Medicago truncatula: one gene and its partners. Each later gene encodes a partner of the first gene's protein in a complex. Links are inferred from orthologs where the notes say so. Each region holds a gene or a part of one and is shown on either strand. Other genes may lie near its edges.

Region 1 (2,825 bases):
GAAAAAAAAATAAAGATTTAGTTTATACACATTCACATTGTAAAGAGTATTTACTTAAATTGAAGAATTTAGTTTTGAGATACCCACGACGTAATTTTTTCTTACATGTGAAATCAATCAAATATTGTCAAATAAATACATGTTTTTAGTAGAACAAAGTGAAAAAATAACAATTGAAACTCGCACACAAATGAATGCACCTGATATTCTCCACCAAATTCAACAAAGATTTATACCCTTTAGTATTAATAGAAGTATAAGACTAATCATCAAATCGGATGTAGAACTATTTTTTAAATAAACAACTCTCGAAATGATTCATTTTCTTGTAGGAGGGTAAAAACGGAAATGCTTAATAGTACGAAATCAGTTAAACGGAAAACAACGAATGCACTTACTGTGAATTTGTTATTACATTTTGGTTTTAGTTCCTGTAAAAATATTTTGGTTTTAGTCCCTATAAAAATATTTTTTTTGATTTTAGTCCCTCCAAATATAAAAAATTTGGTTTCGGTCCTTGGTATTTTGTTTTAGTCCTTGTAAAATTGATTCATATTGGATTTGGTCATTGTAATATGTAGAATATTTGATTTTAGTCCCTCAAAATGAGGACTAAAATGAATATTATAGAGACCAATTTCAATATGAAATGATTTTACAACGATTAAAACAAAATACCAAAGACAAAAACCAAATATTCTATATTTGCAGAGACTAAAACCAAAAAAATATTTTTATAAGAGCTAAAACCAAAACGGCAGATATTTGCAGGAACCATTTTCATATTTAAGCCTTACATTTTTATCCTCAATCCATTTCTATATGACCACTTTACCCTTACCCTTGAATAGTTAGTGTTTTTTGAGTTTCGTCAAATCCAGTGAATAATTATCCCGTAGTGCATAGCAATGCTCGGGTAAAAAACTCTTCCAAAAACATGTTGATTGTTGATAATCTATCAATGTTCAAGTAAATAGTCAATTACCCCCTGAAATTGTAAGTTTCATCAATTATCCCCCTAAAATTAACAAAATGTCAATTACCCCCCTGAAATTGCACAACGTTAATCAATTTACCCTCTTCGTCAAATTTTTTCGTTAGTAAACATGACGTTTTGCAAATACTCCCCTGGAGTTTTACACTTATGTGCAAAATTTTATGTTCACTGACAGAAGAATTTGACGGAGGGGGTAAATTGATTAACGTTGTGCAATTTCAGGAGGGTAATTGATATTTTATTAATTTTAAGGGGATAATTGACGAAACTTACAATTTCAGAAAGATAATTGACTATTTACTCGTCATGTTCAAACCCATATTTTATCATTCAAAAACAAAACCCCTAATATTTAACCGTGATATAAAGTGGTAACAAAAAAGTTAATAAACTCAAAAAGTGGTGTGTCACACATGTTGTGCCTTCTTATCCATAAATCAATTCTCATCTTTCTCAAATTCTTCAATTGAACAAAAAAAAAAAACACAACACCATGGCACTTCTATGCTCCAATCTCTTCACGCTGACACCTCTTTCTTCTTCCTCCATTTTCCCAATTCCCACCACAACCCCAAGTAAGTACCATCACTTCTTCTTCCTTAATTTCTCCAAAATACATTCTCATGTTTTTATTATTCTTGTTGTTTCTTTTATCTTAGTTTTCTCGAACTATGTTTTTGTTTATCAGTTTCAAGAGTGCACGTTGGTTTACCCACAAACTCATTGAAGGGGCTTCAAATCTCGACACCCTTTGTCGTGAAACCAAGGAAAAATGCAATTTCTATTGTATCTGCAACTGCTGAATCCAATGTTGCAGATGGGTCTGAAAGTGAAAGCAAGAAAGAGAGTGATGCTGTTTCTGTAGATAAGCTTCCTTTGGAATCAAAATTGAAGGAGAGGGAGGAGAAGAGGTTGAAGATGAAGCTTGATAAGAAGATAAGGTTGAGGAGAAAGAGACTTGTTCAAAAGAGGAAGTTGAGGAAGAAGGGTAATTGGCCACCTTCCAAGATGAAGAAATTGAAGAGTGTTTGAAGATTATATCTGTTTGCAGGTTTAATCCTGATTTCTTCTTATTGTACCTCTGATTCTTTCCCTTATTCTCAACAATTTAGTTTTTTATTTTTTGTTATTTTCTTAATCATTCTACAATGTATCATGTATGTATTTTGACAATTTTTGTTCATTTTCAATCAAGGGTTTTAGTTTATATGTAGATGCCTTACATTTGGTTAATATTTAAATATGGTTTGATTTGGAATCAATGATATGATTCATGTGTTTGGATATTTTTACTTAGTCCCATTTTGGTTAATATTGAAAGATGAGTGTTATTTGGTACGATGAGCTTAGCGACGAAAACCAACAAATGAATAGGTGCAAAGAGTGGAGCAAATATAACTCTGTATTTGGGTGAATTAGCTGGTCAACACTTTTCGTTGGTTATCGTCGGTGCATTGCTCGTAACCATGAGTGTTTCTCATTGAAATAGGAGTTTAATTTGGAATCTATATAGTTTAGCACCGACACTTCTCATTATAGGTGTGTCCGGTGTTCAACACGTGTGTCCGTGTCCGATACATATGGTTATATTCAATTATTCATTTTTTCAAATTATTTGTGTCGTGTCAACTGTAAATGTCTCTTCCTAGTACATTTCTAATTCATCAAACAAGAACAATCAAATCTTTCTCCGAGTTTTCTCAGATTTTTCATCTTTTCTCCTATGGATTTCTATCTTCACTGTCCTGAAATTCATCTCTGATATGGTATCATTGCTCTGGTATTGAATCCTTATAGTTGCGTTACTTATCATGCCTCACAACAATCA
Region 2 (3,595 bases), on another chromosome or scaffold:
TTTTCTTGTCATCAATGGAAAATTAACTTTTATAAACTAGATGTGTATTAAATCATTCTCAAGCATGGGTACTCTTAAAAATACGACTTGTAAAAATATGAAGTACACAATACCCGTGTATGGTACTCGTGGTATTTCAATTTTGTTCATTATTTAATTGTGACTTTCTCTTCTATATTGATATGATAATAAAGTAATATATGAATTTTTGTTGTTGTTCTAACCAACACTAATTTTTTTTTTTTATTCTTTTTTAACTTTTATTGTGATGTTTTTGTTGTAAATTGAAGAACTTAATTGTCTCATGTTATATTGTATAACAAAACTCATGATTCTTTTAAAGTACCCATACCTTAAAGTTTTTAGAAATTGTTGTATTCTCGTACCTGTATGCGTATCGTACCAGGTACTGTACCCGTACCGCACCTATGCAACATCGCTAGATTATAATTGAATGCAAAATGTAACATTGAAGGCTGAAATTCCCAGTGCTACGGTCCAGGATAAATGTTTAGGGGATGATCAAAGAGATTTCCATTTGTAAGATTCATGACATAGTAAACTCACAAACTTCATATTTGTTTACATAACTCAAGTTGCTTTTGACCATAGCCAGAATCAACCCCAGTCCCTAAAAATAATACAGAAAGAAAATAAATTCTACAACAAAAATTAATGAACATGGATCCATCCTTTTACTCAATTACAATCATAATCTTGTTCTCTCATTTCTTACTGAGATCAATTCCAGCCTTTTTTGCAACTGCATCAAGTCCATTCTTCTCTATGGTTTTCAACGCCTTAGTTGACAAACGAAGCTTTACAAAGCGCTTCCCAGCTTCCCACCAAACTCGCTTGTACTGGAGGTTTACAAACTGCAATTTCTTTGTCTTATGGTTTGAAAAGGATACTTTGTTGGCCCTGTTTGATTTCTTTCCGGTGAAGGGACACACCCTCTCTGAAAAAATAAAACCAAAGTATACCAAGTTAAATTGATTTACAATAATAATAATAATCAGGATTTGCAGTAGCATCCTTTAGACAATGATGATGTAGTTTGGCATCAAATAGCAATAACCAAATGTGTTTTTTTTGGGTGAACCCATGGTATCTCTAACTAAGAGCCAAAAACTTATTATTTAATGGATTGACATCTCATAACATATGTCCTTCTGTGCAAACAGGTCTTAAACTGAATCACTAACCCCATTTTTAACACTAATCATATAAGGTAACATATGTTATATACAAACAGGTCATGTAATAAACTTCTACCAACATGCTTAAAAAACTCAGTTATAGGTAAATCGTACCGCACCATGTTATGCATGTTCTGTTATTCTCTTATATATAAAAAAGAATTGTTACTATAGGCAAACATAAACTAAGAAGGGTATTTATCTGTCACTCTATCGATGAAAGCTGGAGTAAATATCAGTGCAAAACTTCTCTGTCCGCAATAAAATATGAAAAATATTTATTAACCAACAGCAATATGTTACTTTTTAAATAAATAAAAAGTACACAAACCATAGTTGGTCACTTAAAGGTAGCCATTTCTTCCCTATCCATATTGTTATGAAAATAAAAGGTTTCCAATTTCTATTAATCTGTTCACTTAACACAAGATTCAACAAAGAAAACTCTTCCTTTAATATACCTAAGACTGAAACAAATATCACTTAATCACATTCTACCAAAAAACAAGGAATTATTGCATAAAGACGGTGATTACTGGAACAACTTATCAGAAACTCAATAACATTAAAGTAACTTCAATAAGTGCTTATGATACAAGTATTACTCCCGCAAGAAACAAACTAGTATGTAGCATTCACACTTCAAATTGAAGACGTGTCACGTGTTAGAGTCAACACTGGCACGAAATCGACAAAATTTAAGTACTTCCATTCTTTAAAAATTAGAGCAATGACACGAAATCGACAAAATTAGAGAAATGACATGAGTTAGTGTCAAACACCGGCACAACATCAATAACATTTTATAATTTCCATTTATTAAAACATAAACTAGCAACAGACCCGTGCTCCACACGGTCCGCGTGTCAAAACGCACGCATTTGTTTGTATATCACACAATTAGATTAGGAAAAAATTAATGAAAAATATGACATTACATTAAAAATAAAAAAAGATCAGAAGAATTGTTAAATTTAAAAATGAAAATGTGGGCAGCACACTATACATATACATAGTTCATAACATGGTGAAAATGAGAGTGAATATGAATTATTGGTTTCAATAACTTACTAGCAACAATTGGTTGAAAGGGAGAAGCAACAATTGGTGTGGGCAATTTAAGCGAAGTCTGAGACGAGATTTTGAGACCGCTTAACTGAGAATTCAAGAACCCTAATTCTGAAATCACAAAAATTATATAATTGAACAACACAGATTTAGCAAAAAATAAATAAAAAAATGAAATTGAGATGAAGTTAGTTAAGTTAGTTAGTTACGGGGTGAGAATGAAGAGGGTTTGTGAGTGTTGGTTGATGAAATTGAGCGCATAGAAGCGAAGACGAAGGTGTTTCCAAGTGATACTGCAGAACCCGCCATTGTTCTTTCTTTTCTTTTTTCTTCTTCTTATCCAACCCAATCTTATTTGCCTCTTCTCAAATTATCTACCTTCAAATAATTTGTTTTTTATTAGGAAAATAGATAAATGATCCTTTTTTTTTTTTTTTTTTTACAAGAATCTCTTATTTATAAATGTTAATCCGTCAAATTATCCCATTAACTATATTTATGTAGAAAAAGTTTATTATTGTTGTGATTCCACCATTTTTTTTTTAATGAAAATTCAAATAATATATCTAATCAATATTCAAAGTACAAGATGTGTCACTGTCAAGAGTGAAACCAAATTATTATAGAATAATGCGGGTAATTTGTATAAAAAAGAATAAAGCGGATAATAACAATATTCAACTACCAAATAAAGCAAAATAGTGCAAATTTCATGCCCCAATAACATCAACAATCCAAAAATTAAAATCTCAAACATTTAAAATATCATAATACCTCGAAGTTAAAACTATTTTCCTTTGATATGAACCAATATTGAGATTAATTTTTCAACATAATCGAAAGGTTGAGAAAAATTTACACCAAAATAATATTATTTATCACTTTTTATATAATTCAAATGCAAGATAACTAAATAATTTTTTTTTTCTTTTTTCTTTCTTTCAATAACATCTTCCTTATAAACTTAGGCAACAAAATTGATACGCATAATCCAAAACCACATTAATAAAAGTGTTATGAATATCCAACCAACCAAAATCAACTCTCCACACTAGGAAGTGTAGGACATTTATCGAATAGATAAGATATGTTGTGTAGATTCTTCAAAGGGAGCTTCTACGGTTCAGTCAGGAAATTGATTTTTTTGAAAAAGTTAATTTTGATTTTAATGTTTGATTTCATTTTTAAATTGTTGATTGCTGATTAATAATCAATAGTAATTCATCTAGTAATGCTTGCAACATCTTGGATTTACAGGTACTATTTTATCGTTGGAATCTTTAACATGCATACATAGTTGATGATATTATGTGATAGTTTTAAGTGTT
Region 3 (3,248 bases), on another chromosome or scaffold:
TAACTCAATGTGTGAATCAATACATTTGTCCATTGGTAAATCAGATTTAAAATTTATGTTACTTTTTTATAAATGATGGTGAAGAGAGAGAAGAGACTCCATCCGTCAAAATTAAACAAAATTTATTGAGTTATTTTAATGATATTTTTGTGGAAATATAGTGAATAAACTTATTTTTCAAAATTAAATTTAAAATACAATTATAAGAGTGCAATAACTCTTAGACTTAAATTTATGCAATATAGTTAATAAAACTATCAATTTAGTCTATAATATATTAGTCTCTCTTCATTTTCATTTTTAAGTATAATAAATAGTTTTAAAAGTATGTCATATCCGTCGATTTTATTCTTGCTAGGAAGATCTTAAGACTAAATTGACATGATTTCATATATTTTAGAGATTAAATTGATGGATTTAATATACTTTAGAGGTTAATTTTTATTTTGTATATACATTAAAAACTAAATTGGAGAGAGTGATTTTTTTTGGCTTAAATTATTTGTAATATATTGTAAGGAGAAAATTTAGGTACAATTTCTTATGTGTTTTTCGTATGATTCTTAACTATATTCACCATGATTTTCTCAAATCCATAATTTTCTCAAAGTTTGTTATATCCAAAAAAATATGTATTTTTAGTTAAGAACCATATGAAAAATACCTAAGGAATTGTATCTAAGTTTTCTCCATATTATAATACTAGAAAGAAAGTGAGGTTGATTGAAACAAATACATTTAGTAATGAAATAAAAAGTGCTAAAATATATTTTTATCATTTATCTTTTACCAATTATTCATTTATTTTGGTCATATAGATATTTTATTCTTTTCTCGTATATTTATCAAATATAACTATTTGTCTTGACTTGTCAAAAAAAGTCTTGAAAGATATAAGACTAAAACGAATAAAATAAAAGAAGACGAAAACAAATATTAGATTAAATATGGAAAATATATTTTAAAAAATGTTTAAACATGGCTATGAAATATAAAATAAATTGTAAACAAGTTTCTATCTGAACTATCATGTTTAAACATTTAATCATATATTATGCATTATCTTTACCAATCAAACTAAGTTCACGGGACAATCAATTGTTAGCTTTAAATTAATTGAGAACAATACGTGAATTGTTGTTCGAGAAATACATAGTTGATTTTGCGGAAACACAAGTGGTAGGGATCATGGATTTTAGTTTTTCAGAATGTTAGAATTTTAGTAAAAGAATAATTAAAATGATATAATGTTGTGGTAATTAAAGTGTATATGTATAATCCTTTAAAAAAGATGTATATGTATGACTTTTGATTATTATTATTTTTAACTAAATGTGTAACATTTGGTTGATACTATGTCACAATTTAGAAAAGCTTTTTGTTGGCTAACTTTTCTTTAACAACATGAAGCCAATAAAAAAAAGTGTAAAAAGTTAATTTTAATTTTTTTTAATGGAGGGTTTATTTAAAAAAAAAAAATGAAATTGGTGCGGGGCGGGTCGGGTATTGAAATGAAATTGGATGGAATAAGATAAGCTTTGCTGTTGTTGCTGTTGTGTTTCATTCTCTTCTCTTCTCTGTCTCTCTCTTGAGATAGATAACATAAACACAGTCGAGCGTCGTCAATTGATTCAATATGTCTATCATTTCTTCTCCATTCTCCATTTCAATACCTTGTTCTAATTCTTCTTCTTCTTCTTCACTTTCCTTCTCAACTTCTTTTTCTGCTCAATTTGTGAAATTGCAGCAGCACCAAAGAAAAAGAGGAGGAGCGATGGTGGTGAAAATGAGCTTAGAGGCTGGTGTTGGTGTCATGGGTACCAAATTGGGAATGATGAGCTTTTTCCAACCTAACGGTGAAGTAGTTCCCGTCACTGTTGTCGGTTTCAAAGAAGGCAACATCGTCACTCAGATCAAAACCGACGCCACTGACGGTTACAACGCCGTACAAGTTGGTTACCGGAGGGTTAGAGACCGCAAATTGACCAAACCTGAAATGGGTCATCTTGAAAAGGCCGGAGCCATTCCTATGCGCCATCTTCAGGAGTTTCGTCTTCAATCCGTTGATGGTTTTGAACCTAATCAGCGCCTTGTCTTTGATGAGCTTTTCAATGAAGGAGATCTTGTTGATGTCTCCGGCACCACCATCGGCAAGGGTTTTCAAGGTCTGTAACTCTCTCCCTCTCTTTGCATTCCCTTCTAGTGTCCAAGTTAAGTTGATAATAATATCTATCACTAATGTATGAACTTACTTTGACAATGACAGGTGGTATCAAGCGTCATAACTTCAAAAGAGGACCAATGAGCCATGGTTCCAAGAGTCACAGACAACTTGGATCCATTGGTGCCGGAACTACACCTGGTCGCGTATACAAGGGAAAGAAGATGCCTGGTAGGATGGGTGGAACTAACAGGAAGACCAGAAAGCTTAAGATTGTTAAAATTGATAAAGATCTTAATGTTATCATGATCAAAGGTGCTCTTCCTGGTAAGCCTGGTAATCTTCTACGTATAGCCCCCGCCAAGATTGTTGGCAAGAACATTCCAAAGAATTAATTACTCTTTTTCCTTCTTAACTACTTGTCTGTATTCACCTGTTAAGTACGAAAATAACAATCAAAACAAACATTTCTCAGTAACTGAGATTGGATGCAATGTTATAATGTTTTACAATAAATCATGTCTTAGGCAGATCATTTTTTTTCACTTATTGGTTGGTTTGCTATTTGATCAATTTGATGGTGCAGCATGAAGTTCATGGACACAAAGGAATTGGTCGTTCTAAACTCTAAACTAGAACTGGAAGTTTTTAATGCTATTAACTTTTTCCTTAACCCTAGTTGAATTTATTTTTAATGCATCTCCCATTGTTGTCATGGGCTTAACAAGGAATATTCTTAAGTTTCTGTTCAACTGATATATAATGTATTGAAACTCTCTTGTTTGTCTTCAACAACCACTGAGTTCCTGAGTTAAACCAAACTGTCTTAAGAGACATGGCCTCTGATATGCTTTTTCCTATAAATATTGCTTTATAGCCATACTTCCAACAGCATACAAAATTTAGATGTTAATAAAGCTTGTACTTGTCATGAAAAAATAAACAACCTTCACCCTCTAATGCCTCCTTTCTTTTTCCATTTCCACTTTCACTACCAACATCACCATCACTCTTGAACCAAGGTAGTGTGATGTGTCTTTGAGCTCCCTTTTCAATGGAGCTTGTGGTAGAAGGAAGAAACATGGAG

What was found.
Region 2: 50S ribosomal protein 5, chloroplastic (region 1) and 50S ribosomal protein L28, chloroplastic share a complex: the UniProt entries of both Arabidopsis thaliana proteins name them as parts of the 50S ribosomal subunit. The link is inferred for Medicago truncatula from reciprocal best matches to the Arabidopsis thaliana genes PSRP5 and PRPL28.
Region 3: 50S ribosomal protein 5, chloroplastic (region 1) and 50S ribosomal protein L3, chloroplastic share a complex: the UniProt entries of both Arabidopsis thaliana proteins name them as parts of the 50S ribosomal subunit. The link is inferred for Medicago truncatula from reciprocal best matches to the Arabidopsis thaliana genes PSRP5 and AT2G43030.

What each region holds. Positions count from the first base shown.
Region 1 is NC_053048.1:41,272,702-41,275,526, reverse strand, and holds 50S ribosomal protein 5, chloroplastic, read left to right. Parts: upstream 1-1,406; 5' UTR 1,407-1,490; coding exon 1,491-1,572; intron 1,573-1,685; coding exon 1,686-2,029; 3' UTR 2,030-2,230; downstream 2,231-2,825.
Region 2 is NC_053042.1:15,742,769-15,746,363, reverse strand, and holds 50S ribosomal protein L28, chloroplastic, read right to left. Parts: upstream 2,638-3,595; 5' UTR 2,577-2,637; coding exon 2,477-2,576; intron 2,379-2,476; coding exon 2,271-2,378; intron 959-2,270; coding exon 726-958; 3' UTR 514-725; downstream 1-513.
Region 3 is NC_053044.1:58,756,415-58,759,662, forward strand, and holds 50S ribosomal protein L3, chloroplastic, read left to right. Parts: upstream 1-1,554; 5' UTR 1,555-1,636; coding exon 1,637-2,165; intron 2,166-2,266; coding exon 2,267-2,556; 3' UTR 2,557-2,710; downstream 2,711-3,248. UniProt on the Arabidopsis thaliana protein: One of the primary rRNA binding proteins, it binds directly near the 3'-end of the 23S rRNA, where it nucleates assembly of the 50S subunit.